2 linked regions of the Struthio camelus genome follow. The protein of the gene in region 1 interacts with the protein of each later gene in a biochemical or structural test. Links are inferred from orthologs where the notes say so. Each region holds a gene or a part of one and is shown on either strand. Other genes may lie near its edges. The genes, in order: TRDN and CASQ2.

Region 1 (15,565 bases):
AGCTCTGTGGCTGTGGCTGAGGATCTCCTGCTCTCGGTCTCTGGGGTAATGTTTTTATTTTCCTTTAAACTGTGAACTTGGAAAAATTCGTTTGGTTGATTTTGGCTGAACTGTCCCTTTAGGACCGTTGCACTCTACTGCATTTGTTTTCTACTATTTCAGGAAGACAGGAGGAGGAGCAAGGAAAAGGAGCAAGTCTTTTCGGTAACTGCTTTACAGACAAATATTCTTTATGGTTTGCATTAGAAAGTTGACTTTGGACATATGTTGCAGCTTGGACAGGAATCTAATAAGATTGGCAGTGACAAATGGTGATGTACTATTCAAGGAAAATTAGTATATCTGCTGCGCTGAGTGGTAAAGACATTAATGCTCAAAGTTATTTCTCCTTTTAAAAGATCCTTTATTTTTTGCACAAACTTTTTTAGTGCAGTCGCAGCTGTCAGCACAGACAAGTTTGAATTTACTAATTCTTTCATTCCACTCTCACTCTATAAAAAGACTAAATTGCCTAATGAAAAGCTCCCAGTTTAGATTTCTTTTAATAATAATAATAATGATGATAATAATAATAATAATGTGGGTTCTTCATCTGCAATTCTGACTTTGATCAGTCCAAGACTGTGGCTAGAATGAGGCAGAAAGAAAGAAGAAACCCAAAGAAAAATTGTAGCTACTGTTAAAAAAAACATATTTTTCCTTTTAGACTCTACCTTTTCAGAAATCTCGTTGCTGTCATGTGATTTCTTTCCTATAGTTGATAACTACTGAAATATTTTGCCTGCTTTATATTTTTTCTCCGTTTTCCTGTATCTGTTGCTCTATATACTTATGACAAATAACAGATGCCAATATTTCCTGAGTATTTTGCATCTTAAGTTTGTGTATTGCTGGGTGGGTAACTGACTTTGTGACACATAAAGGGTTAATTCCAGCTGCAGCCTTTCATATTTTAGGATTCAAAGAATGATTTTCAGCCAGATATAATCATGAATTTACTGCCAGGAGCTGATATCTATCCAATCTGTGGAAATGCACGACTCGACCAGATTCTGAGGTCCTAGGGCAAAGGGAAACCTTGGAACGGTTAAAAAAAAAAAAAACTGCCATTAAAAATAGTACAGCAGAGACACACTGTCTGCAAGAACACTCCTAGAGATACCATCCGTAGCACCTAGGGGATGTCTAGGATAAGAAAGCCTACCTAAACTTGGAAGTAAGGACTGCGACTTATAATTGTTCTTTGTCTAAGCCTATTTCTACGCTACTGCTGTTTTTTCCAAGCAAATGGTGCTTAGCTTGGAAGTGGTTTCTATATCACTGTGCCTAACTGTTCACAGAAAGGCCTTGGCAAGAGCCAAAATGCAGAAGGACTTCCTGAGGTTTGGACTGGGGTTGGTTAGAAGGAGAATCCTTTGCTAATGTGACTGTGGGAATTCCACAGTGTCTAAGAGCACACAGTACATAACATAAAATATCAAGCAGGAAGATAACTCATAAAATGGAAAAAAAAAAAAGTGAGGTTTCCCCTTGGTTATGAAGGTCAGACTCAGCCGATAGTTTCCAACATCCCAAAGCGGGTTCTCATTAGTGAAGACACTTGGAGTACTAGTTGGTTACCATATTCTTTCAAAAGTATTTAGCGTGAGAATATGTATTTGTCTTTATCTTTTAACACAGGTGCAACTAGGCTTTTCTCTAAAATCGCTTTTCTTTTCTTCTGCTTTTTGTAATATGCAGTATATCTGAAGAATTATATTTTGTATGCTGATTTCTATTGAAACTTTTTTAAAAAAGAGGTCTGGAGGCAAACTTGAACATATATCAGTGGAGGTTTGGAATTGGATCTGAAATTTGACGCTCAGAAGAAGCTCAGATGTTTTACTACATGTCTTTTGTGTGACGTATTTCCAAGTCCTATGAGTTCAGCACAGAAACTTGATTTAAATAAAATTTCAAACAAGCAGTCATTTTTTTAGAAAAGCTTTTCCTGTTCTCAAGCAAAAATTTGCCACAGAATGTACAGTGATTTTTCTTCGAAAGAACTTTTTGGCCAGCCAGTACACCAAGTTCATTAGGATGTTAGAACAGATCTCAATCAATATTTCTGTCTGAGGTAATTAATGTTATGTCAGAGCTCACCCATGTCTCTACTAACTAGCTGGCTGCTTGTTATCTTATGTATGTACACCATTAACCTTGGACACGGCTTGTCCTGAGGGAAAAGACAATTAATGTGCACTTTTTGACATTGCTTCCTAAAAAGGGTCAGATTCAGATATCCCCTCTTCACTATCAGAGAGGTTATCTGTGAGACAGCCTCTGAGAAGTTTCCCAAATACGAATGTAAAGCCACAAGGACTGTAATAAAACAACATTAATTAAGAATTGCAAGAATAAAACAAATTAAAGGAACATTATATAATACAAAACTGTTAAAGCTCATACAAATATAGTCTACATTGATATGCTGTAATAGACGCCCTCCCTGACCCTAACTCATAGTAATATGGAGTACAGTTAGAGCAAATAAAATTGAAAAAACACTCCTAAGCAAAGGGTCTGCTGTAATCTAATTTCCCTCCTTTGACTCTCTACTCAGCCAGCTTGCAGGATGGAGTAAGGGTATCTTACAACATCCTCGCTTCCTGGAATTCAAATAGTTTTGTAATCGGTGGGTCTTTTCTGATGTTAAAAATGGTTCATTATTCAATTGTACATCTAGGCCGAGGTTACAACAGCAATTTTGCAGCATAATATCTAATTGGGGGCATTGTCTATAGTGAGGAGGAATAGTCAGTGTCGTAGATATTTTATTTTATACCTGCTAGCTTTCCATCATGTAGTTTAAGAGTAATTTCTTTCTGTGAAACCTAACCTGTCAAATGTCCTTTAATGAGCTCAGAGCGTTAGGGTGATATGACCCTGGCGTGCTTGTCAGCTGTCCCCAAGCAGACACTGATTTGAATTCAGACCAGTCTGCCTACAGAGATGGGGCTTCTTAATTGTATTCTACATTCATCTGCCAATAGTTCACATTACATGCAGGACAAATTTACCATGCAGTTTAACTAATTCTCTCCTACACTTTAAAGAAGAAAATGTTTAAAGGTACTATGTATGTGACTGTCTCAGTGAAAAATGATGCAGACTGATTTATGAAAATGTTTAAACCTGTGCCAAGCTTTAATCTAAATTAGAAGTGAAACCGAGGTCTTATTTAGGTCTATCTGCACTTTGGATATGCCTTACTTACATGGTGATGCCAAAAATCTTGCAAGTGTTATTCATGACATTTCAACCTGAATGAAGAGAATTATTTCAGAGCATGTAAAGGTCCATAGAAGGTCACAAGAACTACATCTGTGACTGATTAGGCTTCATGGGAACCAGAATGTGAATTTCTTCTCCTGTTCCTACAGAATAACATACGATCTTACCAATGGGAACTTAATGAAAGTCACGTCTATACGTAGCAGCATTCCTGAACCAAAAAAAAAGGAGGGAAAATATTTCTTTTAGTGGAAACTAGTGAATGCACCAAACAAATATTAGTATTTTTCTTCATATGTTCCTGATAGCTCAGTGACAGACACCGCTCTAATTCCCTCTTCGCTTCTGCATGCATCTTTACTTTCACCGGTATTCATAAATCGAGTACCAATCATCATCTCCCTAGCTGTATATCTCCTTTCTATATTCAGCCTATACCGGTTGATTACTGATTGTTTTCTGATAACAATATACTCCTAGAATTCATTAGATATATCAGAGTTAAAGATAAGATTCCTTTCCTTGACCCTGCTGTGCTGCTGAGTGTGTACTGAGATACAAAACGCTTTTCTTTTGCTTAGTTTGATTTTGTAGGACTGAACTCTTAGATTTTCTTAGTAACATGTTAGCAGATAACTTCAAACATTGTTCTGCATTTTCTTGTTGAGAGACAGTTTTATCCAATCCCTGAAATATTTTCTTGAATCAGTATGAAAGTCTCTCCTCTCATTACCTAATAATTTAATGCGATCTATTGTCTTTCTCTATTCCTTTTTTAGCAATATCATCATGGCAACCCAGAAATTAGCTCATAAAGGATTTGTGTACTCCTACTTTGATTATTTAAACAACATAACTTGTCATTTAAAAGTGGGAGTTAGTAGTAGAGCTTGTCAGATAGTAAACCTCTGACTTTTTCCTAAAATAAAATGTTCAAGATATTATTTTTCTTTGATTTTTTAGTTAAGACTCTCACTTAAATGCAACACTACCTGAAATCAAGGCATATGGTCACATGCAGACATCTGCAGCGACTTCCTTACTCTCCTCTTCAGATTTTTCTTTTGTACAAGATTGCTACTTGCTCTCTATCCAGGCAGCTAGAGAGTAAAGAGAACGTTCGTTTTATGATCTTTCACGCTGACTTGTATAGCTCTGTAATCTTGTATGAGGAGGCAAAATTAATCTTCTGTTATAACTCTCTCCATTACCACTGAATCTGAGATCCGATCCTGGGGCAGTTTATTTAAGATGTAGCTTCTTTGAGTGGGAAGAGAGTTCCTATTGCTTACCTGAAGATCAGAGCCAAGACTGTTTTCATCTTGTAACTAAGACCGGATGGAAGAAATTCTATATGTGCCCAGGTTTGGACATCTCTTGAAAGAACCAAGGAAAGTTTTTAATTTTTCATTATTGTTATCATTTATAATATGAAGAAGAACAGAGGAAGGATATGTTTCAAAAGTGGCAAAATTTCCATCCAGTTAGATAGGATAGGCTCCCACTCATATGCATTCTGGGTCAGTTTCAATATGTAACCTAGGTCAGGGAATTAACCCAGGGAATTAACCTTTACTCTGTGGGATGAAGAGCTATATAAACTTTGTGCTGGCCTTCTGCATAATTTGAATTTCATAGACTAGTGAGCCAGCAGCTAGACTTCGGATTTTAACAAAACTTCTAACGAGCCCTAAACCTAATTTTGAGAATTTCCCTTCCTTAATCTCCTACAGAACAAAGCATAACACTATAATTTTCTGAAAGTAACATTTGTTACTGAAAGTGAGTGCACATATATGCATGCACGCACATGAAAATCAGAACTTTGTTTACCATAGTCTGGCATATTTTTGTAAAGGTTGTGATTGTCTCCAGTAAATATAACACATAGCTTTCCTGACTCCCCTCCCCCCCCCAAGAGTAAACAACTATGTAAATCTCAATACAGTTGCCTAGATCTATGTCTGTTGTAAGATATTTGTGCATGACAGCTTTAGCCTGCTTTCCAGAATGAATTTGTTGCATCTGCAAGGGATACAGAAATTAACAAGTAGCACTCTCTCTGACCGCTGGGCTGATGTGCAGAAAAGTAATGTCCAGTTGGATTCTCTCACTTCCTCTGCTCTTATATTTTGGTTTCAGAGTATCAGCCTATGGCTGGGGGTTGAGCAAAAAATAGCAGTAAAGGAAGTAAGGCATGGAGGCGAGAAGGCACGTGGTAGGAGCTGAAAATGGAAACAATGAGGGACACAAAACCATACACATACAATTAAACAAGCATAGATGCCCACGGTCTCAGGAGCTTGCTACGTAACCAAAAAGCAAAGCTAAAATTCAGTTCTGGATATTATCCCCAATTTTCTCCCCTTATGTACCCAAACTGAACCTTTGTTATTTTATTTCACTTCATATGTTAATACATGTGAAAGCAATCCTGACTTCAGGGTAATGGATTGCTTTGTGCTTGGTCCTCTCAGCATCAGCTGAGATGATATGTCCCACATCTCAAGCCTAGCTGTGGAGCTACAGATGACCCAAAATATTTAATTGTTCATGCAAAATGGAAATGCTCCAGCAGAAGAAAATAGAGTAATTAAGAAGGACAGGAGCTTTACTTTAGTATCACACAGTTTACCACAGTTTACTAACCACTAAGCTATTGTGGGGTGCTGTTTATTGCTGTGCATATGATTCCACAGAACATTTAGGCACTCATGAAACAGCATTTCTGAAGGAATAAGGCTTTATCTAAAATGTTCTCATCAGCCTCAATGAGGAGGATCTTCACAGAAAGACAGGCCTAGGCTAAAGAAGAAAAAAGGGAGGGCTAGGAGGACAATGAGAATAGGACTGAGCACTGAGCATTGCGCAGCCACAGCTGTTAGAGCAAAAGATTTGTTCAACAGAGCTGAAGGAGAAAAGGGATGGAGTACTGATGCTAAGCTTTGGCTAGAAAATGGCTATTTTTTACATTTTTAGTCATGTGACGCATTGGAAGTGGGTTACAGTGAAAGAAATCCTGATGGTGACTATTAACTTCTGTTCACTGAGTCTTCCCTTCTGCATCTTATGCGCTGGATAAGCAGATTCCTCTCCTTTGCCACAGAGCCAGGTGCTTTTATCTCCTGCAGGGAAGATGAGAAGTGCAAATGCCAGCCCATGTAGTGGAGAAGAGCTGACTATAGGTTCCCTAGTCAGAACTGTTTAAGATGGCATCTGATTTCATGTGACGGTGACATTTATGTAGAGGCATGCTGGCTCGAGGGCACTTTTTAGTTAATCTTACTTTCAAGCTCTTGCACTAATCTTACAACTGTGGGATTGCAAGCAAAAATGCAATCAATAGATTGCTCAGGTTTTTCATTTATTATTGTTGCTTAAATTATTTTTTACTCTAATTTTTGTTAAAGGCTACTTGTTATCACTTTTAGAAAACTTTGTTTACAATCTCAGTGTTTTTTTTAACCAAGTTTGTCTTTACTGTAAATTAGACCTGGGAAAAAAATCTAATCTTCTTAATATTTTCTTTCATGTTACTTTGACTCATTTAGAGTATTTAAACTATTACTATAGTAAAACTAAACTATTCCTATTTATTTTTTCACCAGTGATTTTTAATTCTTAGATGCACTTCAAAGGTATGTGTCATCATTGCAAATCAAAAGGGAATCAAAAAATTGACCTCCCCAGAATTACCAGTTTTATAAATTTATATGTTTATAAGTGTCTCTATTGGCCCTGTAACTAGGACTAAGAATCGAAGTGGAGAAAATTACCTAAATTTACCCTCCCCCTTAGTCAGTGGTAAGCTTCATAAGACCCTCCCCAAACCAAACAAGGCAGGGAAGAATGTGCTAAGCACTGAGTGTGCTAAGAATAAAGTTGAGCTGAGATGGATAAGGTTACTTTGAACTCTATGTTTCATGTTTCCTAACATACACCCCAAAGAACTGTAATTAGGTTAGGGAGGCTGCAGGAGCTCTAAACAGTTCTTCCCATTTCTTTTGCTTTTTGCTGCATTTCCATGCTTTCCTGTCCTGTTTGGAGCTGGGTATTTTTACTTTTATGTACCGTGTGAAAAGTTCTTAGGATGTTAGAAAAAATGTGCTGAAGATTCACTGTGAGGCATGGCTATTTTTGTTAGAAGCTGATACTGAGCTCTGTGCGTTGCCTTTGGAAGGCCTTAGGTTGTTCTGGGTGGGCTGGAGTCTGCAGAGGAAACAGAAAGTTCAGAGGGGCACAAAAGAAGAAGGAACAGAATTAGAAAAAGCAAAGGACCTCCTTCCTTTTTGTTCTGCAACTCCTGCAAGAGCCGGCAATCCAGAAGTTTTATCTAAGCTGCCACAATATACCTTGACCTTTCTAACAGAGTATCTCTTACCATCATCATTATGGCCGAGATTACAGCAGAAGGTACGGTAACTACTTTCAAATACAATTAAACAAAAGTTGTATATATTTTGACAGTGTAATTGAGCTAGTGTGTCAATGTGATTTGTTGCTCTTAGAAAATAACACCTTTGCTGTAGGGTCATTTTACTTTACTGTAGGGTCATTTTATTTAGTTTGTCAGATTGCTTTTTCCTTGTCTTTCTTTTTTTTTCCCCCCTTTTTTCTTTTTTTTCTTTTTTTCTTTTTCACTCCTATAACCAGAGTTTATACTAGTTACTGAAGCTAGATCTTTGTACACCTCTAAAAATAGCATTAGTTTCATAGGCAAAGCAACGGTGCTTAGGCAGTTCCATGAGAGTAATACAAGAAGGGAAAAATCGCACGGTTCCATCCTCAAGTCTTTACTTAGGTAAATCTCTGATCATCCCTTATAATAGGAGATTTTCCTAAATGAGAATTTGGGAGCTGGGTGGCCCTGATTTTTCCATAGAAGCACAGAATGTTTGTGAGCTGTACATAAAGTTACTGAAGGGTAAAAGCTATCAGGACTGCAATATTTATTCAGATAAACTTCCAGGGGAGCCAGTGAAAGTTTTGCTGAAATAAGTGCTCTAGAGCAAGGCCCACAAGAGTGAAAGGCAATTGTATTAGCCAATAAATATATCTTATAAAATATGAATATTTCATGTACTTTAATATTTCCTGACCATTCATATTTAAATAACATTTTAGATGCGTAACAATATTTTATCAGCCACAGTCAGACAGAGGAAATGTTTAAAATGCAACCTTCTGCAAATTTAATATTGAATTTTTTCATGGAATTTCATGCTAACCGTTGTTAACAGTGTGGGTCACGCCATTGTTTATCCAAATTTGATAATGACACTATATAAAAAAAGAAGGATTTTAAACATTGTTCTGAAAGTTATTTTTATTTCACTTGTCAAGGTTATGTGGTGTTTCAGTGTATGAAAGTTGTACTTTTCATCTTCTTTTTTTCGTTGTTAATATTTGTAAGATGATCTGCATTAAGCAGATTGAACATTCTCTCCCAGAGGATTCATATTAAGACTATGTCAAACTGCGCACAGTTCTTGCCTGATGTCCAGTTAGCCACAGCAAAGAGCTGATGTGGGTACGGGTTTGTTTTCTCGGTCGGGAGTTGCATGGATCTATAATTCACTTCTGGCAGCAAATACTGCCAAACAGGTGGCTCAGTGTGACAGCCCTAATTCAAATGATAGCAACTAGTTTATTTGGTTATTCTTAACCTGATTTGCTGGAAACACTGTTTGTTTTGTAGATGTTATCAGGCAAATCTGTGAAATTCTATCTATCTGTCTTCTGAAGTGTGTGCATTAACTCCATCAGTGTTAGATAAACTGTGTGGAGGTGCCTCCTGGGAGGTTCTCCATCTTTAGAGAACCCTAATTAAAAATGAAAATTAGCAAGATTCTTAGTCCAAAATTAATATCAAACATAAAAGACTTTTCAGTAAGTAAATCACTTAGCTACACTGAATATCTCTACACAGCTGTTCTGTGCTGCTACGTCTTGGATTTGCTGATTGAAAAAGAGAAAATAAAACCCCCTAAATTATATATACGTACATATATATATATATAAACAAAATAGATGTATACATATTTTTGTATATATCAGTAAAACATATAGTTTGACGATGTCCTGATTGTGCTTACAGGTTCCTTAGCTGTCATATTGTGTGTCTTTAATCTCTCTTTTGTCTGTGCAAGGCAATAGAGACTTCAGGTGGTAATGGATATACTGGTGCTGCAGTAATCCGACCTTCAGCAGGATAGGTCAACATAGCCAGAGAATACAATTCTTTTTTTCTCTCTCTTATATTTGGAATGGAGTTATGCTGACTGGCTGATTTTTAAACTCTGGATCCATGAGATGGAAATTTTACCCATGGCAGAAAGCTAAAAATTCAGCCTGAGGCTAATGTTTCACTGCAGATTATTCTTCTCTGAGGCTACTGCTGCCACTTACACGGTAGTCTGAAAATTCAGATCTAAACTTTGGCAAACACATAGCTGGGACAAATAGAAAAACAATTAAAATATCTCATTTCATACAAGGCTTTTTTATTCTTCCTTTTTTTGTTTCTATTACTACTTCTAATCTACAATTTGCTGAGATCTTCATAGCTTTGTTAGGATTAAACTGCTTGTTCCTTGTGATAGGTATTCTTATCCCTATTTTATTTTGTTAGCCACACATCAGACAGACTGTTAGACTACTTGCCCCTTGAGATACCATACCGACATATCAGAGAGCAGTGCACAGTGACCAGTGTGCCTGAAGCCATGCGGACCTTAACACTGCTGTGCACAGCCTGGCTGCAGATCTAGAGAGAGATGGTCCAGCTCTGGCAGACTGGTACAGTCAATGCAGATCTCAAGGTATCTTTTTCGAACAGCCTATGTAAATACCACGATTGCATGGGGACAAAGGGTGCTCTTTCAGGTGAACATCACTGTAATGACAATGATAGCAAGTAGCTTAAAGACATAGCCACTGAGCAATGACCCTGACCTATTTTAATTGCAAGTCATCTGTGCTATCTACGTGATATCACAGCTACAGACTACCTGGTGATCAGATATACTAGTGAAGTATACCTGGTAAAAAACAAAAGAAGATCTGGGAAGATAACAATTTATCCACAGAAAGCTGGCAGGACCTAGGTCTCCAAGTGATAAGTATTTTAGGAAGAAAAAATCCTAAGGATTTTCTTCAGTATCCTCATGTTACATTTAATTGCAACGACAGAAAAGTACTATGAAAATGTTTCATGGGAAATCACATAAAATTAAGTACAAATGGCAGCTCAGTACAGGTATTAGGTATTACCTCTTTGCAACACTCTCAGGAGCTTTATTATTATTATTGTTCTTGTTGTTATTATTATTTTTACTATTATTAACTTCAGCTGTTATTGAGTGTTCCATAATGGCCAAGGACTTCATTGTGATCCACCTTTGAGCATGCCTAGAAAACCACAGCCATCCAACTCAGCTACTCTGCTATGTTTATGAGCGTGGGCTTTGGATTGGACTCAATGGCACATGCAGTTAGAACTGCCATCACTGCAATACAAATGTAAAAAGCCCGGCATCCCTGAGAAATGGCTTCTACCAGTGTACAGCTTAATCGGTATGTGCACAATAGCAGCAGCAGGAGCCCTATAGTTGGTTTTTTCTAGCCAAATCTACTGCAGGTCACAGTGCAAGGTTGATGGCTGTCCCTTGGCACTTATCCTCCTACACATGGCGCAATGAACAGAGCCTTAGCTCTGCCTGCTGCAATGCTCTGGAGGTTGCATACTGATCTAATCCAGGGAGGTGAGGAAAGGAGAAAGACAAGGTTTCTATGCCAGCTGTTTGTCTGACACAACTTATTTCCCCAGTGGAGCAAGAGTGAAGAAGGAGTCAAACAGAAATGTGACAATGAGTCACAATTTGGTCCTTATTTTGTTGCTGAGAGCTATGCAACTGCACATTTCCTATTTCTCGGAGCAGATTGTAAGGAGACAGGCTAGCCCGGAGGCTATACACAGCCTGTCAGTGACAAAATCAAAATTAGCTTCTGGATTTCAGTCCTTTTCTCAGGCTATTTGATAAGTATGAAAAGTTTTAAGATGTAAAACGTTTCAAAAGGCAGATTTAACATGATCTGCATGCTTGAAGATTAATACAGATGAAACCGATAATGTATGAGAAATAATATACAAGAGCCAGAGGGTAAAATTATAAAGATTTTATGAGTGCAATGGCCAGAAGCTAACAGCAGTCTTCAGTAGGTAAAAGTTGAGCAAAGTCACACGATAGGCAGGAAGGAGTTTGGTACTTCTCATGGGAATTCATGAATTGCTGCTAGAAGTGCTAGTTCTGCTGACTACAAAAGGGGCCTGGGTGAATAAACTAGATTAGATGATTCATTTTGATGGCTGAAATCAGCTAAAGCATTTCCTAGTCTTCAGCTGTATTGTTGTTTAAATCTTGGGTTAGGAGGTTACTGCAGAATTTATTCAAACTAAATTTTGTAGTATGAAGGGGTGTTTTCTTTTAGCCTTTTTTTGGCTTCAAATGTTAATAGGGAAATAAATTGTACACCTTGATCCTGCAAAGGGTTAGGGAAGATGTGCCATTGGCACATGTTATTTTGGGCAATGATTTTTTGAAGGAGTTAGTCTCCTCTTGTTCGAAAGTATCTGGTCAAGTCAATGGCCTAATTATTTGGAGAGATGAAGTCAAAAAACCCAGGACTGCCCGTAATAAGGTAAATCTTTGAGAGGAACAGAAGCTGGAAATTCTCACTTAAATTCCATTAAACTTGGATTCCCCTGTGCCTGTGAAGTGGACACCTAAGCTGGTTAGTTTGACTTAATAGGTTCCCTCAAGGCTGGCCAGCATGTCTTAGCCTGTGCAGGCAAGCAAGCACAAGGTAAAACTTGTTAGCTTAAGTCTGAAGTTTAAAAATTTGGGGGCATTATTACTCACAGCTGGTACAATATCTACGCATGTTCAGATTGTACAGAGAAACTCCAAAATATCATTAGCTTATGCAGCACATTTGAAAGAAAGCTAGCTGTAGACAGCAGGGAGTCTTAAAACCTGTAAAGCAGAGGTTTAAGCTAGTATGTCGTGATGCTAGCCCATAATGAGCAAGAAGTGTGTGTGCACACAGTTCATTTGTGCACTTATTGTGTGCAAACAGCTGTATTGTAGGTCTGATCTGATCGTGTATTCACTTTTTTTGAAAGGACCTTGTGCTCATAAGTATTTGAAACAGGTTTTTAGGGTTACTTATATAACAAGAAATACACTTAAAGGTCTAGCAGTATTTTCAAAGCATTGATGCAATTAGTTCCCACAGATTTCAAAATGAAATCTGTGTAACTGGTTAGATTCTCAGAAGTGCCTTCAGGTACCTCCAGCTACCTGAAGCCTTGGAAAAAATCTAGCCTATAAATGTTTCGAGTGTTTTTTTTTTTCCCCCATTACCTCCAATGAGAACACTGACTAAGAGGCTAATTCATGCTACTTTTACAACAAAATTGAGCCTTTAAAATCTGAGCTTCACTCTGAAAAACAGTAACTGGTTTAGTTTAAAACATGTTTCACAATGCAGGTCTGGCTTCAGTCCAGGATGCACTGAGGACAGAGAAACCAGAGCTGCCCTCTTTGAAGCAGGTCAGCTGCTTACAGAAGTGAGGAAGCTTTCCTTTTCTTTTTGATGCTAATATTGGCTGGTTTCTGCTCTGTTTAAGCAGATTGAACTAGCGGACAGTGTTCATTTTACTAGCTTAAATAATGTTTAAAGCAGCAGAGGGTGGATTGTTTTAAATCCAAATGACTGAAAAACCTTTTGAATCACCAATATTAATCATGATTTAAATCGGCAAACAAGAAACTTGGATTTCAAAACAGCAGTTTTAATCTCATTTTTGCATGTGTAGTCTAGGGAAAAAGAGCAGAAAAGAGAGATTGATTCCTATTGGCTGATAACAAGTGTCATGACTGAAAACTGAATATAATCTTTTTCCTAAAATTGTACTTTTTATTCCTGCACAGAAAGATATCCTGTACATGTTATCTATTAAGATATATATATAGTTCATCAACCATTTATCCAGATTCTAAATCTTTCTACATTTTTGATGATAGAAAATAGTAAATGGTGCATTTCCCTTTTACTAGATAATGATTTTATTTTTCACTTTTGATTTCTGTCAAGCTTCATTAGGATCGAAATTGGAATTCAATTAAAATGGTATATAACCAGCATTTTAAAATTGTTTATTTGTGTACTATAAATGTACTGGATATATAGCAAAAGTTCATTTTAAATAGAGCATATTTTGATAAGTTAAGTGATTTATTAAACAAATATAGTACTATTTGTAGTTTAGTTTCTGGCCACTGCATACTGCAATAATATATAAATGATAGAGCTCATTTTCTTTCACATAATGTTTATCCAAAGATTAGAGAAGGAAAACTTATTTTCTTTTCTTTTAATCCCTAATTACTTCTTGATATAGAATAAGATAGTAATTGAGTTCAAATAGTAGAATTAATTGAAACGAAGAAAATATTTTCCACGTTTACAAATAGGTTATATTGTCAAAAACTGCCTGGCTTAATTTGGCTCCATCTGCCTAGCAAGTGATTTCCAATAGCTTAGTGATTTGCTTAACTTTTTTCATCACTTTAATGGCCTGATCGTAGCTTTTTGTTTGCATAAAAGTGATTTTAATAGATGGTACTATGAAAATATAGTCCTTAGCACAATTTTTCTTAATTTCATATTAATTTTAAAAAGATGCGTTTGTAAAAGCATTTTAAAAAAACCTCGGTTTGTGATTCGAAAAGCACCAACAGTTTTATTCTCTGCCATCTCCCAGTGCATCATTGTTTGATGGGGGCTTATAAAGGAGAAATATTGAAGACTAATATTGAAATATCTTCAGTAGTTGGAGTGTATGGATGGCTGTAAAACAGTAACAGTGATTACATATCTGAAAGACTTGTACAGCGCCTTACACGAATTTAAAAATAATTCAAAGGTGTGGTCAAAGACAACTTTACAGAGGAATACAGGCCTAATATTCTTCATGCTGCTTTACTTTGACAGATCAGATTGATAACAGGGAACATGAAGTAGATGAGAGGATCTGAACTGAAAAGTCATTGTAGCTAAAGACTTAAAGTTATGGCCATCTAGTTATATTCCTTATCCGTTTGATCCCTCTGTCATGTTCTCTCTGCAGCTTTAAACATTTTCACTAGAAATTATGATTATTTCATATTTTGGTCTTAGTCCAGTGTCTTTATATAGATCTTGCCTTAATGCATTGAGACATGACTATTCAGACTTTAGATCCTTGAGTGGTAGTTTATTTAAGCAGCGTGCGGTCAAAAAGGACCAGTAAGATTTAGGGTCTCGGTTTCTTGCTGATATTTACCTATAGCATAGTTGATTTATGCATGTAAGTTTGTTAGGGAAATTATGAAGCATATTCTTGGCTACCAAATAGCCAACAGCTATCTCTAGCAGTAGAGAGAGGGGTACCAATAATTAGCAACAGATACATCAAATGACACTGCCAATGTGTCTTGTCCCACATTTTATCCTTTTTTGCCTACTGTCTGGTGTATTTTTGGTTCTATAATACAGTTTTCCCTTTTCTCTTTCTCTCCTTCTCCCTCTTCCAAGATCTAAAGATAATACTGCAGTTAAGTAGGCAGGATATGTAACTCTGGTCCCTTCCCTAAAAGTAAAATATAATCAGAAGAACATAGTGAAACACACAGTAAGCAATTGCATTGCTCTTCAGGCTCATTAGATTTGAGGGAAAGAGATGAGCTAATGTAAGAGAGAACAGGCTAAATAAAAAAACTGTAAAAGAAGATATTGTTTTTTTTTTTTTTTTAACCCAAAACTGTCTCATATGCTAAAGCGCAGTCAAACGAGCTCAGTTGCTTGACTTTATGGTCAGTGCTAAGTTTTACCCCTAGAAATCAGGATGAAGGAGTCTTGGTTAAAAATCCTGAATAAGCCTCACTTCAGTCATATAGCCAGTTTGGGCTTTTTACAGAATCTGTTCTACAGCGCAGTATGAATTTGTTTCTGGCCTGAAAGTCCTGCTTAGTGCTGTATGAAGGCATTTTCCATAAGAAAGGAAAATATAAAATGCAAGGCATAGAAAAAATTTCTCACTGGAGAAGTCTCCTTTTTCTGTCTTCAAAGATGATTTTAAAAAATCTTTTACAAATATGTAATGAGTAAAGACCTGCTACTCCCTGTACATGCTTATGTTCTCACAACTTCAAAAGTATATCTGTACCTTTGCCTGGAGTCAAATTGT
Region 2 (16,070 bases), on another chromosome or scaffold:
CTGGTCCTCAAGACAGTATGTATGCTGTGAGACCGAAGGGACTGAAGAACCACCATCTGGGTATAACCTCACTTCTTACCTAAAACCCATCATCCTCTCCAACCTGACCTGTATCTACCGCCTACCAAAATGTCCCAACTCAGGGGTCCGCAACCTTCACTAGCCCTCAGGCTACAGCACTCAGTAAGGAGCATATTGGGAGCAATGCCATACTTTGCCGCCCCTGTAAAACCATGAGGAGTACTGGAACATTGGCCACTGGCTGGCATCCAGTGGTCTAATATGCCCTCTTCAGTGCAGCTTCACCTGGGGAGTGCCATGTTGTACAGCCAGCAGCTGTACTCACAAGTCCAAAGCCATCACTGATGAACCTAGAGAACTCTGAGTCCAGCTGTAACCATCTATACACTGGAGGAGCCAGGTCCCAGGCTTTGAAATCCTCCTTTACCAGAAGTGCCAACTAACATGCACCTGAAGGAGAAGACCCTTCTCCTGCCTGGATATAAACTGTCTCCCACAGGGCTGTAGTAGCTCACACTTTCCCTGTGCTACTAGAAAGAGCCACACACCTCCTAGAGCTTACACTAGAAGCCAAAAACATGCTCCTGTGCACTCCCTTCGACCCATCGCCCTTTCCCCACTGGCCCAGTCTGCCGTGCCCCCGACACAGCAATGTCTAGGGAGATCTGCTGACAGGGGGGAGGCCGCTTGGCACACGGGGATGGAAACAGCAGAACACCCTGTGCCATGCGTTTTATGACTCCCCTGCGCCCAGTGGATAGCTGACCTCTGCTAGCTGGCACACCACAGGGAAGGCGAGTGTTATAAATAACAAACGACCCCAGGAGCCCGTTATGCATGCCATGGCCCAGTCTGCAGCTTGGGGGGCTGCCAGATAGTGCTTAGCAAGCGACCTCAGGTTAGAAGGAAAAGCAAAGCCATGCTCTAGCACAATGTCTTCCTAGCCCCAGGCTTGGAGAGACACAGCTACTGCCTTTTCTCCTGTAAAGCACTAGCTGCCTGACCTCTTGCTTTTGGTTTCTCATGGTGTCATGGGGAAGGGCTGGGGCAGGAAGCTGCTGCTGGGGTCTCTTCCTTCTAGCAGGACTCCTCTGAGCATTCAACCCTGCAAAGTTTCCTCCACTTCCCAGCCTCCCACAGCAGACAGGGACAAAAGGCCAGGCAGGCAGGGTCACAGCTGGCAGGAGAGGCCAAGGAAGAGCCCTGCAAGCACTTGACTTATAGGCCAGCTATAAGGCAGCAGTGGCAGGAAACAACTATACAGTTTCATGTGCAGTGTGTGAGTCCTGACAGGTGCGTGCCAACAGCTATTGCTGATTATGCTGTCCCTGTGGCACAGTCTGCAGCAGGCTCTATGGTCACCTAGACTCGGGGGCCCACAGGAGCATCCTCACATCCTCCTCATGCCCCCCTTTCTGCCTGCCCCGCCAAAGAAAAGCAGCTCAGCAGGGAGCCAGCCTGTCATGCAGCTGGACTGCAGCCAGGGTGCCTGCTGAGGCCCCCATCTCACCCACAGCGCGGGCTGTGCCAGCGTGGTAGAGAAGAGACGAGGTCGGTTCCCAGGTCCTACGAAGGGAACTGAGGAAGCTGGATGGACAGACACACACCATGGGTCCTCTCAGCCTCTGCCTCCACGGTGGACTCGTGTTTTGCCCTTCCAGGGGCCTCTAGATCCTGGTTGGGTTTCTGCACCCGCAGAACAACCTGCTGGCAGTGTGAGCACTGTGATTACTAGCTTCACACAAAATCATGAAACTCAGAAATAGTGTCCCAGTATGAAAAGAGACCTGAGCAACACACGCCAGTGTTACTTCAAGCGCAGGTGGCAGCATCTAAGGAGAGCCGCAAAAAGATTCAAAAGGCATTGTGAAATGCGTCCTCCAGCCAGAAGGCTGCTAAGCACCCTCAATTGCTGGCAGCAGCTCGTTTTCAGTAGGGCAGAGACATGCCTCTTCTCACCATCAAATGCAACATCAGTTTTCAGCTATCCCAGAAGAGTCTCATTTTGTGCAGGGTCTCCATCTCGTTGCTAGCTTTCACCATATTATCATGTAGTTTGTGATTATCATAGTCTTCCCTGGCTACAGGATTCATGCTACTACTCAAACATTTCAGCTTCCATTTAAAATAGAGAAGCTTTTTTCTATGTTTTGTGGCTGCAGAGAAAAGCTTGAGCAGGGGAATTCTGGAGCTACCATGCCAGGAAAAAAAAAAAAAAATCCCAAGCTAGACACTCCTCTGATCTCCTGATTTCTAGGCTGACTTACTGATCTGAGAGAAGGAGATACCTGAGTCATTACTTCTAAATCCCTGGAAATGCTATGTAACTGTATCCCACCAGTATCTCTGGTGGTTTTGCTGCCAGGAGGGCTTATGCACATAGAAGAATTTGAATTAAAAAATTGCCCAACATAAAAAACCATATGCCTACATTTGCTTCAAGCCATAGTCCGTGCTGCATAGACCTGACTATAGCCATAGACCTGACTGCAAGACATTGAAACTGTTTGGAAAGCTATTCACCCTAGAAATACGCATGCCTGACAGGTGCCAATAGACTTTTTAGAGAGATTCAAGGCTACCCCAGACTGTACTAAGTCCAGTTAGAGAAGAGAGAGGTCAAAACAGAGCAGAAATTCAAGAGCAGTAAATCTGTTCTATCACCTTACCAAATTAAAGAGAGCGCTAAGCTTGGCCAGCTCATCATCAAAATGGAATGAAATTCCTGGTGACATAGTGAGATCACTCCAACGCTTCCCTGACCCTGCCAGCTGCACCCAGCGAAACCCGGCAGACGTCACGGTCTCTGGCTGCTCCAGGCAAGGAGGGAGGGTGGTTTTAAAAGGCAGCACAGGAGGACAGGAGCAGGGGAGTGCAGGAGAGCAGAGCTGCAATTGTAGCGCAACAGGTGTAAATCTGCTTGGCACAGCTCCGTCAGCAGCAGAAAAAGCCACGCTGCTAAATTAAAACCCCACCGTCCCATCTGATCCTCAGAACCGTATTAAATATATCGGCACTTTCGTGGCTGAGGGAACACAGAGAAACCCAAGGTGAGAACGGCATCCCAGACCGGGCCAGCTCAGCACTGCCGGGTGCAGGATCATCGTTTCAGACCCTGCCCCTGGAGGGCTGAGTTGAAGCAGCACTAGCAGTTAACGCATGCATTAACTTATCCTGTTGTCTCCTCCTGCTGGACTGAGCACAGGTGGGAGGTGAAGCTAGGCGTGAGTCCAGTGATTCCCTCTCCTCCAAGAAAAAGGCAGAGAACCAGAGGGAAATGGCTAGATTGGTCTATGTGCGGCCTAAGGGTTTCCAAAAGAGAACACACGATGTTAAGCCATGTGGTGGTTTCTTAGGGTCTAGCCTAAGCTAGTTTTAGAAATTTCCTGGGCTCCTTGGGCCAGAGCTCAGCCTAAATCCATTCACACCCCTGCTCTCAGGATACCAGCTTTGGGCCTAGCTTTCAGGGAGGTTCAGGGCTTGGCTCTTGGCCACTTGGTTTTTGCAGCAATTCCCCAGAGCTCAGTCGTCAGCATCTCTCTCAGTAACATGTGTGGCCAGATTTCTGAACCAGCTCTGCTGTAAACGTAGCCAGTAGCAGTTGCTTCCCCTCCACCAGCTCTGTGACTCACCAAATCCTTCAGGAACCTGGACCTGGCCCGTGCTCTCAGCCTGCCTACAGCACCAACCACCAGCAGTCTAATGTCCAAGCACCTCGAACCCAGCTACCTTCACCTGACCCTGCTGTTCAGAGCCGTGCTATCTGCATAGAGAACTGAGACACAGATGGACTTTTCCAAAGTCACCTGGGAAGCCTGTAGCAGTAGAAAACTTGAATGACCATCTGCCACCCTCGGCCATCTTCCCCTACTCCTGAAGCACCCTCCTGCTAGGGCACATGCCGGTGCCTTTCCACTGGAAAGGAGATTCTGGTCCCTGCCTATCTTGTGTTTAAGTTGCTGCTTTAGCTCCTCAATTGTTATATGTGACACAAAAAAGGGTGGGGTGAGAAGGGAGACACAGAGGAAGGAGAAGAAGGAAGGGCAATGGAGCAAGATAAATGAGAGGGGTAAACTGTACACTACTCAAGATAAGAGTAGTAATTTCACAAGAAATTTGAGAGGGTTTTTGTGGGACAAGCATGCTCTGTTCCCATTGCCATGTTATTTGTCTAGAGGAGAGTTTTTCAGCTTGTGGCACAGGAGTTTTTCTGAAACAGGGTGTGTCAGAGGTATCTGAGGAGAAAAGGTCTCTCATCAGTCAACTTAAACTTATTATGCAGGGATCTGCACTGACACTGGAATGATTTTAGGGGTTCATAAATCAAAAAAAGGTTGAAAGCCCCAGCACTAAATATGTGTCACACCTCTTCCTCGCTCCCAGGTGCTGCAGAAGAGAAGGTGGGTAAAGAAGCCATTTCTGGCAGCAGCGTGGGCTGGGTCTCTTGCTGGGCTAGTTTAGCATAGTGTGATCAGCAGAGCTCTGCAGGACGTTTGTAGGACCCCAGCGCACTAGGGCCCTTACAAGTGAGGGGAGGATTTTACTAACCGGGCTGTGGCAAAGTTAAATCTCCTTCTTTGCAGGTTAGGAAGAGCCAGAAGGCCAGATACCTGCTCAAAAGTCTTTTCCAAAGCCAAGTCATTTGCCCAAACAAATCTGCCTTCCTGGGGATCCAAGAAGTCATTGCTTAATTGGATCAGCACAGCTACAAACATAGCTTCCCTATGCCCACTCCCGCAGAGGCAACAACATGCAAACAGGGGGCTTGGGCTCTGCAGTGATACAAGCCCTATTCCGTTGGTGACACAGTGAATAAATCTGGGTCCACCTTCCTTAGGCACGGTGCCGGTTACTCCACCCTAGGAGATGGGAGTTCTTGCAGACAGAAGTACAGGGAGAAATGGGACACCTAAGTGCAGCCCTGCACTCATGCCAAATATAAGGCCTCTCTAGGACTCTCCATGAAGATTAAGCCTTTTCTGCTTCCCAGCGCTTCTCCATATGCTTTTCCTTTTCACTTTATTGCTCTCCTTCCCACCTGTTTTCATCCATGCCGCTGGGTCCATTTCCATTTGGCCCCAGGTGGTGTCTGAGATAAAATCCTCCTTGCTCTGTAAGGTTTATAACCCATTAGGAGGTGACAATCTCAATCCTTCTGGGACAGCCCAGGGCACTTTTTGACCAGGGCACCTTCTAAACTACTTTCTGACCTGCATAAGATGCTTGTCCCAAACCAATTTCCAAAGACAGAGAAGCACAACAATCCCTATAAAGTAGCACAAAGCAACTTCACTGTGAGTGACAAGGTGTCTAAAAGAGACACTACTTTGACATGTCAATAAGTAGCAACCCTATGTGGCTCTGTGTGAGCCAGAACTCCTGTGTCATCTTGTTGACCTTCCCTTTACAATTTCTATATAATTTTGCATAAGTGCTTTTGTCTGCACTGCATTTTATTTTCCTCATCCAAAAACATGTCTGTATGTCAAAAACAGGAGGGATTATAGCATCTTCTCATCACACTATAGGTCCCAGGACACCTTGGTCAAAATATACAAAGTGTCATCAGGCCCTATTTGCAAAGATACCTGGCATCTTAAAACAGGAAAAAAAGGAAAGAATGATCCAACTGCTTGTACTTGCCATCACTGACGTGACTGCATCAGAGTGCAGGCAGTGTAAAGCACCTTGAAAGGCTTGTCGCCTTTCAACCCTTTCAGTCAGGGTTGAAGGGAAGGGGTGGAGAGAGAATGAGGTTTTCTTGCACCGCAGAAGTTTCTGTGAGATGATAATGAATCTCTCTGTCTCCTCAGAAAGACTCAGTGTTTCTCTGATGCTCCTGTCCTAACGACAGCAATATTCTACAAGTTATTACAAACTGTGACCTTACTTGGCTAGCTACAGCCCTGGTAATGAGTCCAGCTGCTAGTAAAAGGCATATTTTCTGGATATTCCTATCTTGCAAAACATGCAAGGTCTTAGAAGCTTGAAAAGAGATTAGCATAAGCAGAACCTTAAATCCTGAAGCCCTGGAAAAAGGCTCACCAAAGCATTTGGATCAGCAGTGGCTGGGGAGTTCTTTTGCTATGTGGGCTAAAGAGGACAACGAAGGTGAGAACAGCAGTGAGGAATATAGCTGGAGCAGCAAGGAGGCTGGAGCAGCCAGTGTATATCCCCAATTTCTAGTATAAATTGGAAAAAAAACCAACAAGGAGGAGATCATTATTTATTCTACTTCCCTATCAGGCACCCTGCACTTCTGCAAGTCTGAAGTGAAGGCCTAAGACTATCCTATTTTGAGCAGTCCTATTCTATAACTATTGCTGGCTACCTATCATCAAAAATTTCAAAGAAATAGAATTTTATTGAGTTAGGATTTTAATTTATCTCAACTCTCAGGGAAAGTTTTCCAGCCAAGTTCCGTGGAGCCAGGATTTTTTTCTCACTGAATATGCCCCCAAAAACTTAGAATAGTGGATAAAGCCACAGCAAGTTTCTCCTTCAATTCTCTCTTTTTCCCTCTCTTTTGCTAAGAGAGCTTCCAGGTGGAAGGCTCTGGGATGGTTAGCTGGGGAAGAGCATTGTTTCAATTTCTTGAAGCAGGACATGAAACTAAGAGGTGCCGTAACAGAATGATTGAAGTGTATTGGTTAAGGAGTTGGAGTCAGGAGGTTGAGCCTTGCAATCAACTTATGGCAGAGACTGCTGGACTCCAGCTTTGCTAGGGAATGAGCTATCTGAGCTGGGAGGCAAGCGTTGCGAGGCACAGCACTGACAACACCATTCCCTTGCATGTCACTAGCCACAGAACTTGAAGTGTTGCAACCACGGGCAGCCATGGGCAGAGGAAGACCTCGAACTATGCAGGAGGATAGCATGAAGCATTTGTAATGATCCTGTGAATGCAAAATCCAAGACTTGACAGAGTAGCTGTCCCACTCCATCCTCCCCTTCCATGGGGAACTGCTATTACTCCTACTCTGCAAGAGAGGATCTAGCATACAGAGAAACGTTATGTCAGCATCCTGTAGAAATGAGCCTTCAACAAAACCCTGGTTCCCCAGATCCGTGAAGTCTACACCCTATCTTTTTCTTGACAGCAAGTCTATCCCAAAATTCCCGGTCTAAAACACTGTCTGAACTCAGATGGACAGCTTTGAACTCCTGAAGAGGTTTGCTTTCGGGGCTGAGATGAGCATGACTCAGTAGGCTGCTGTCAAGACCCAGAGAGGTCAGATGAAGAGACGAAAACAGTACTTGGGGCCTTTGTCAGAGTATGGGAGATTCTGTTTCAGTCTCAGCTCTGCTATTGGCATCCTATAGGTTTCCAGGCAAATAAGGAGCTCTGTATTAGACTCAAGTACTTCTGTCCTGAACACCCCAGAACTCATGAATCTGGGATTTCAATTCAGATCTGTACCTGCAAGATTACAAGGAGAACATCTGCTTTGATTAAAGCTCCACTTCGTAAGAATTAAAAAATTAAGGTGATTGAGACTGTTGTTCAGATTTTGAGGAATTTATCCTGATTCTCTTCACAGGTTCGTTCCTTTCTAAGTCAAACACGTAAACTCTACCTCCTGAGAAGCATACAGACACGTAAGCCACTTACTAGGGAACAAGGTATCCTGAATTTCAACTGAATGCAGCTAAAACTAAAAGAGTACAGAAAATGTCCCCTGGAATTAGCATAAACAATCCCACTAAGAACCACTAAGGTTCTGAGCAGAGACAAAGAGATGTACTCTCTGTTGACCATGACATCCAATGTCGTTCTGCTAGAGGAACTCCCTTCAGGACATAGGTGAAGCCTAACAGTGAGAGATCTTTGCGACTCGTACTACAGACAGATTAAACAGATGATTTAAATAGATGATTCGGGGCTAACAAATCAACACTTCTTGTCAATTAAAAAAATCCTTTTGGTGATTTTTCCGATAGCAAAAAGAGGAGAAAATGAAAATTAGATTATGTCTATTTTAAGACAGATTAAAAAGACTAGAGATAGCACATTAAAAATAGCTTAAGTGATATGAAAATGGAGCAATTGCTAAAGATCTACAAAAATAAAAGGAGGGCAGGAGTCTGGGAAGCTGATTTTGAAGTACCTGTGAATGTTCCATTCTTAAAGCACTATCTGATGTGTGTCTGATTTCAAACACACTGTGATGCCAGTGGAAGCTTATTCCTGCACCTCAATGCATTAAGTTATTCAAAGATAAGCAACCAACCTGATGTGTGCCCGATCATCCCACAATCTCAGTTCCACGTTTTACAGCCTAAGCATTCAGCAAGCGTCTATCAAGTCATTGTCACCCATTGTGATGAGAGTCTTGCAGCAACCACTAAAACAATTAGTTTTATCCTAGGTTCATCCCATCTCCTCTAAAAATAACCACTCCTTTCTCAGCTTTCTCAAGCTTTATCATTAGGACATCAAATCACAGAAATATGTTAAGCCTATGAAAAAGCATGGCCAGAAATTGCAAAGGGGTGTTGGAGACAAGTTAGACATTGAACTTTTTGCACTAAGTTTCAGTCAGCATGTCATGGGCTGTTCATGTTGCTAGTGGAAGCTAAGGGGGATATGTGCTCCTATGTCACTCAGAAGAGAGCCATAATTGTTCAGTAGCACTCACCTTTTGTTCCAAACTAATACAGGAATCTCCCAGCCATGCAATTAAATGGGAAGAGCTGGATGGGGCAAGAGCGGTATGCACCAGGAAGAGAGATCATCTTTTTTTCGGAGTGGACAGAGCAAAGGTGTTATGGAGCAACACACAAGGCTGGGCACCATGAGGAGGTCTAGTAAACCCATGTGTCTGCACCTCAGTTCAGTACAGGAGACACCCATGCCCCTTGTCAAACTCTGCTTTGCCACCTCCTCAGAATACTTTCTCCAGCAGATCAATGTCACCCCCCGGTTGTCGGCGCTGACCTGCAGCCAGCAGGCCTGCTTCTACATCCCCATTGCTGCCAGTAATGGGGCAGTGATGACACGCATGTCAGAGGAGAGGAAGGCATGAAAGACTCCGCTGTCAAACCATTCTCCCTCAGCAGCTTGATGCAGGTGAAGAAGGAAAGCAGTAAGTAGACCTGAGACCCTGGGGAATTAGGGGGAGACCTCAGGAACGTGGTCCCAAGGAAAAGAAGGAATTTACTGGTTGCTGTTCTTGGGCAACGAAAAGGGAGGGAATATGAGGAATCACTTGCTAGTAAACTCAATGGAGCTGTGTGACAAACACATCAGGCAGGTCACAGAGGCTGGGAGGCCCACAGGGACAGCAGCACCTGTCCACTGTCCTGAGGAGATCCCTGCCCACTGCCCCAAGCCACCTGCAAGAGTGTGTGCCACCGCCTCCTGCCCCTCTTGCCTTCAGCATAACAAAGCTTTAACTACTTATACAGAGTTTGGGGCTTGGTAACTGCTCTGGGCATGGAAGGTTGCAACGTAACCCTCCATCTGCTTTGGGATTACAGCTGGGAGAAGAAGGTTCACGTGCCAGAAATTCTCCTACTACCCCGCAAGCAGAGAGAGCACTTCAGAAAACAACTTGAATTTAAGCAAGCAGCACTGGCTGCTGCCCCAGGAGGAGAAGGGAGTCCCATGAGCTCTCACCTCCTTTGCTGCCTGAGGAAATGTGTCTTTGCCTCTAGTGATGCAGTCTCTTAAATCATTTAATCCAAGATCCGCTATCCATGCCTAATCACTGCAATGCCCAAGTGGTTACAAAGAAAGACACCTTTATTATAAAACACAGTAAAAATCTTCTATTTTTGTTAAGTCCTAGTAGGGCAGATTGTGCCTTAATTCTCTGTACAAGTGAAGCCTGTCCCTTCATAAAACCTGCCTGCATAGTCCCAGCGTCGACATCCTCCACTCACTCACTGCCTCTCACTCACTCCCTCTTGCTCAGATGCTGCAGAGTGCCAGCAAGTCCCTCAATAGTGTCATATCTGTCCTTTTTATTCATTGCAGGGTTTATTTTTAGCCTGAAACAACTGCTTCCTAAAAATGGAGTTCCTAATGACACGGGAGCCGGACACAGCTATGTAAGGTATCCAGGGCTTGGCCTGACAGCTTCTCCTGTCTGTCTCTTTGTTTTGAGCCCAGGACTGCAAAGTTTGCTGCTTCCCACCAACCTTGCAGAGTTTGGACTGATCATTAGGAAGGCAGAAGACAGAGAAACGCGGTTCAAACTTTACCTGGGGTCTTTGGTCTCCCTCTCTTTCCAAATAGATAGAAGAGACATTCACCTGCCTTCTGCTCCGCTCCAGAGGTTTCCCTATGAAGGCAACTTGCTGGATTCTGGCAGGTTTTTACCTGCTTTTCTGCTGCAAGGCAGAAGAAGGACTTAATTTCCCCACTTATGATGGGAAAGACCGAGTGATCGACCTGAACGAGAAGAACTACAAGCAGGCCCTGAAGAAGTACGACATGCTCTGCCTGCTCTTCCATGAGCCTGTGGGCTCTGACAAAGTCTCCCAGAAGCAGTTCCAGATGACAGAGATGGTCCTGGAGGTAAGCACCGGTGCATGTCTCAGCAAGGATCAATACCACAGCACCCTTTGGAGCTGTGGAGAGGAGCCGTGGGAAAGGACAGTCAAAGGATCATGCCGGGGGGGAGCGTCCAAAGGTTTGGGTGTTTACCTGAGTTTGAGTTAGCCCTGGGGTTCTGTGAAGCCCCCCAAAAAGGCCTTTATTGCACTGCTCTTAATCGTTTGCAGGGAAATAGCCCCTCTGGATCGTAGGTCAGAATCCCAGGCAAAACCAAATAACCTTGTAAACCTCAGCAATACAAACCCAGACCAACTGAGCTTTTCTAAGTCTGCACACAGATCTGAGTATGGAGCTTGAAATTTTTAGATCTCTTCTCAGTTTATGCAAGCCAGTTCCCCCTCCCCTTGTATTCTGGATTCAGTCCCATTTTCTATCCCGCTAGGAGCAATCAGCCAAGAAGCCCTTATTAAACTGTGCTGCAAAAGGGCGTCCTAGCTCCCCTTCTCAAAAAGTCCCAGCTGGTGCAACACTAAATCCGTTTTCTGTTTTTCCTGACACTCAGTTGCCTACTTGGAATCAGTCTGTAGCTGCTTGTTAATGCAATCACTCACTTTGGTGCTGGAGAAAAGTATTGTTAATTATTTGGCAGAAGAATGATGAAGTAGTCCTCAGTAAAATAAATCACAGTAAAAACTACAAAGTAGATTCATAGCATTCTTTCTTATAGCGTAGCTGCAATCTAGGAGATCACACAGCATAAAGCCTGGATTGTTAGGGGTTCACTTCCTACCAGATGCTTAGGAACATTCCCTCCTAACTAAAAGAGGCATTTGGAAAGAGAGAGAACTGCAAAAGAAATACATAAACTTTATTATTCTGATCCAGGGAAAGAATGCATTGCACTCCTATAAGAACAGCAATTGTGGATTCAAAAACATTCTTCCTGAGGGCTAGGACCTAAAAAAGTCCAATGCCAAGTTCAAGATCTGCTGACCCCCTCAGCAAGCTTAATAACAAGAAAGATTTCAGAACTAACTAGATTTTATTCACCTGTCAGGAAACAGTTAATTGCTCCAGGTGAATGCTCAACTAGCATTTGGCAAAGAAAAGAAAAGATAACCCTGGGACTCCCTTGAAGTGTTTATGCCTGCTAGTATAATTGCATTATTATTTAATAGGGTACTTATTTTGTACTACATATATGGCAAGCAGTTACTAAATACATATTTATAGAATCATGACAGAAGCGGGTATGTTGCGTCCTATAGATTATACTCATGACAAGTATACCCATGTTAACAATTAGCCGTATCAACGGTGCAATGATTGTAGTACTATATGAGTTAAAGCTTTTGTTTCGTGGGGTTTGATTCTGCAGTGTATACGTTAGCTTAGGAAGGACTCTGGAGATTTGGTTTCCAATCACCTCTCTGCTATAGACTTCTTAGCAGAAGTCTATCTGGGCAAGAGATTAGGGGTTAGATCCACAGCAGATTTTACATAATTGTCATGTTCCAATTCGCTAATGCTCAGCTACCAGCTGACCATGGCATACACCTACTGGCACTTGTGGATTTAACCTCAAAATTTCCCAAGCACTTGCAATGCTGACTCAGTGCACATCTCAAAGTTTCAGTCTTCCCTGGACTGGGAGCCACAGCAGCAATTTCATAGCCCAAGCACAACAGCAGTCTACAGACAGTACCCCTTTGCCTATGTCACCTAAGGGAATTGGACTGCGAGATGGTCTCAGAAGGCACCTAAGAGACAAAATCCTACAAAGGACACAGCCCAGCAAGATGCTGGAGCTCCCAATTTCCGGGTTAACTCAGCCATCAGAGCGCTCATGAATGGTGTGGGCAAGCCAGGTTTTAATCCACTCCTTGTGACAGAGCTCAAAGCCTCACCTCCCAGGAGGCAGTTTGGCCACCAAGCCGCACTGTTATTGTGCATTGGGGATCACTCATCTCTCCTGCTGGAGCTCATCCAGCACTGTTTGACTTCACATGTATTCACCAGACCAGTGAGAGGGAAAGAAACGGCTACAGTGGCTCTGTGGCTGAGGTGTGAAGTCATTCACCTGGGAGATGAAATACCTTGGATCAATCTCCTTGGAGGCCGTCAGAAATTGAACACAGACCTACCATAACTCGAGCACATACTTTGAATACTGAGCTGCTGGTTAGGCACAGTAGTATTGAGAGGGCCTCAATTTCCAGTCACATTTGGAAAGAGTTGGCTGGTGCTCCTCACTCAAGGAAGGCCTTATGTGTCTATTTTCAGGGAAGGGTCCAGTGTCTTGAATGCTCAGTTAAGGAAGGCCCTTTGATCCTGAAATAAGGTGTCTAAGAGGCAAACACTCAAGCCCTTGGTGTTCCCTGCCAACTGACTTGAGGGCTGGCTGTGGTAAGACACCTTTCGGGAGAATCTAATGTTTTTCCATCTTACTGCACAGAGAATTTACCTGCTGACTCACAATGGGACGTGCTGCTTCCACAGCCTGGAAAACATTTACGTCTTTAGTTTCCCTTCCATAAAGCGGCACTGACCTCCCTCACTAGGAATAAGAGGGAGTCTTCGACCAAAACCCAGCCAGGTGCGGAGCTAGGCAAAGCTCTGATGTGGGTGGTTGAGGGTTGTTGCTATTTCTTGAAGAGCGTGAGTGATTGCACGCACAGAAGACAATGACTTTAATGGATGTTAAGTCCAAAAAGCCCCCAAATAGTCCACCCTTTCTGTTTCTCTCACATGCATACCAAGTCATTAAGCCCCTTATAAGTAATTTATGATTATAAAAACAGAAGATCAAAGGCCTCGGGAAACATCATAGATGCCAAGAAAAGAACAGGAGAGATCTGATGCCCAAGTACCTGCACATATGCCAGCAGAAACGTCCAGATGTGTCCAGATAGTAGATGGCATGGCATGTTGCACAGCAAAAGTACCAGCAGTGCCTACCAGTTCAACTCTAGATCCAACCACTGATTTAGGCTTCAGCATGTGAGAAAAGCCACAGCTACAAAGCACCTAAGGGCAAGATAGACTTTGACAGACACTCCTCCGCTCCAGGAGGAAATTGTCTCTTCACTGTGAGCATGGTTTCCCTTGAAATGTGTGCGTTCCCAAGAGAAACCCATGAGACTCTCTTATGCGGGTTCTCTGGAGTCTAACAAGGGTTGAGCTCATGTAGCAACGTTTCCTTTATTCAGGGCACTTTAGTCCTTTCCTTTCCAAGTTCCTGCTCTTCATGAAGCTTGCAAGAACTTAATCATATTTAAGACTTCTGCCTCTGTAAGATTTGGCTGAAATGGACTAATAGCTTGAAAAATTATTAGCGGAGGTAACTGACAGACAGACTGGAGAGGGAGAGCACGAGCATGCAGAATAACAAGGGCCTCATTTCCTTAGGAAATCAGGCTGAAAACCAGACAGCACATCAGTAAAATTAAGCACATATTTAAGGACTTTGTCAAACTGGAACTACAAAAAGCAGAGTGAGAAGAAATAATATTTTCCCCAGAAGCCATAGTGCAGCTTTTGTGAAGACTTGGCACAGCCTGACAGCACGCAGGCCTGACATGATGAGCTTCAGGCCTATGAGAGACTTGCTTAAGAAAAGCATATGTCCAAGCCTGAGCACTCCATTCGTTTGTTAAAATAGCAAAAATTTCCTCTAAGTCCTTCCCACAACAGAAGCCCAGCTTGCTGGACTGCCCTTGCCAAAAGTACTGGCTGGACACCAGACATCTCCAGAAAAGGGATGCCATCATTCACCTGACTACCTGACCACCAATGGGACAGCTCACCCAGTCTTCAGCTCCCCACACCCATGTATACTGGGATCCATCACTGGATTCCCACGCAGTCTAGGGTCCCTTTCCAGTTTAGGAAGGGAAAGGACTCCTGCTGAGGCAACAAGCCTTCCTCCCAGGTAGAGACTGGCAGGGAGCCCCCACAGCAGCTCCTTCCACCACCTCTGCTAGCTGCTGCCTGGTGATAACAAGGCCCTGGGGCAACTGAGCCCCTCTGGGAGCAGCAACAGCAGCTTCTTGGCACCAACCTTTGCGCATGGCAACAGCTCCAAGGATAGCAGTGCCAGCCCCTCAGGTGGCGGGTAGGAAAGCCAGGGGCTGTCAAGCTAGTCGATAGGGAAAATAGTCAAAGCAATGTTTGGAGATGCAGCTGCCTAGTGGCCAGCATGGGGAGACTTTGTAAAATGACAGCAACTCCAGGACAGAGACAGCGTGGCCTACACAAGCGCGGGCTGATGCACAATTCAGATGAAAGGGCTCTTTTCCTTTGCTTTCCCTTCTCCCAACCCTCTACTCTGCCCCACCAACTACTGAATAGCACTGAATAGCTTGAATGGGGAAAGGTCTCCCCACAGGGCAGTGCAAGAGGTTGAACTAGGCAGTCGCAGAGCTAGCAGTAGCTATCCTACTCTGTGGCAATGTTTACAAGGGTCCTGCATGCCCTGCAGAGCGAGCACAACGAAGCAGCAGATGACACAGCCAGAGACAAGGCTTTGCAATACAAATTTACTATTTATACTACTTACTATACTGTTATGTGATTCTGCGATTTAAGAGACAAGGAAAAAAAAAAAGCTTGTCCTGAAGAAGTCTCAGCTTTAACTGAAAAGGGGCAAAAGAGGAGACCAAAAGAGTGAAGCTGAGAAGTATCTGTTCAGCTTCTCTTGTCCTTCCTAGCTCTCCTACCACGTTTCCTCTTGTCTCACACCATCACTTCTCAGATCTTGTCCTCTCTTCCTCTCACCTCTGAACCCTTCACAGTTACTGGAATAGTTTCTCCTTCCAGAGAGCCAGCCCTTGCCTCTAGGAACCATGTAATAATAACGAGCAGTGAGATTAGAGGCTTTACTTTTGAACATGGAAAGCTCTCTCCAGCAACTGAGGTTGTCTCACTAGCAGAGCAGGCTGCCTGCAATGCAGATCATTGTCTCCATTCCTCTCCTCTGTGCTTAAATGGCCCTTCAATGCAACAGTGTCCCTGGGCTGAAATTTCATGGAGAACTGCCCTGGCACAAACCAGTTTGATTAGATGTTAGAAAAGGACATGGTGGTCCCCTTCCAGATCAGCCCCAGGAGCAGAGGCTTGCCTCTGGCAATAAACGACAGACAATGTCAAACTCCACAACATACTTACTGGATTCTGTAATGCACTACACAAGGAAAAATTCCTCCTACAAACCTGGGGATATGAGTCCATGAGGTCACATTGCATCTCCCTTCTAGTGCCCAAGCACAGCCAGTAGCTACTTGTGGTGGGAGAGGGAAAGACAGATTTTTCAGTCCAATAAAAGAACAGGGTTAAAGTGTCTAGCTCCCAGTTCACTTGAGAGCAAGGATTTATTTTCAGGTGTTCAAACATCTGCACCTCCTCTCATGAGCTTCCAGCTCAGGATGGAAAAAAACTGGGGCAAGATCAGCTGTTTTTTGGGTAGTTCTACCCATATGGTCTTGAAATCTCTTGAGAACAGGTGGTTCCTGTGAGAGTTCAGAGCCACACAACGTATAGAGAAGAGGAC

What was found.
Region 2: the proteins of TRDN (region 1) and CASQ2 form a complex in vitro, tested with the Homo sapiens proteins (3 studies listed by BioGRID). The link is inferred for Struthio camelus from reciprocal best matches to the Homo sapiens genes TRDN and CASQ2.

The regions. Positions count from the first base shown.
Region 1 is NC_090944.1:67,503,440-67,519,004, reverse strand, and holds the start of TRDN (triadin), read left to right. Parts: upstream 1-7,485; 5' UTR 7,486-7,664; coding exon 7,665-7,686; intron 7,687-15,565. UniProt on the Homo sapiens protein: Contributes to the regulation of lumenal Ca2+ release via the sarcoplasmic reticulum calcium release channels RYR1 and RYR2, a key step in triggering skeletal and heart muscle contraction.
Region 2 is NC_090942.1:93,688,408-93,704,477, forward strand, and holds the start of CASQ2 (calsequestrin-2), read left to right. Parts: upstream 1-9,821; 5' UTR 9,822-10,309; coding exon 10,310-10,543; intron 10,544-16,070. UniProt on the Homo sapiens protein: Calsequestrin is a high-capacity, moderate affinity, calcium-binding protein and thus acts as an internal calcium store in muscle. Calcium ions are bound by clusters of acidic residues at the protein surface, especially at the interface between subunits.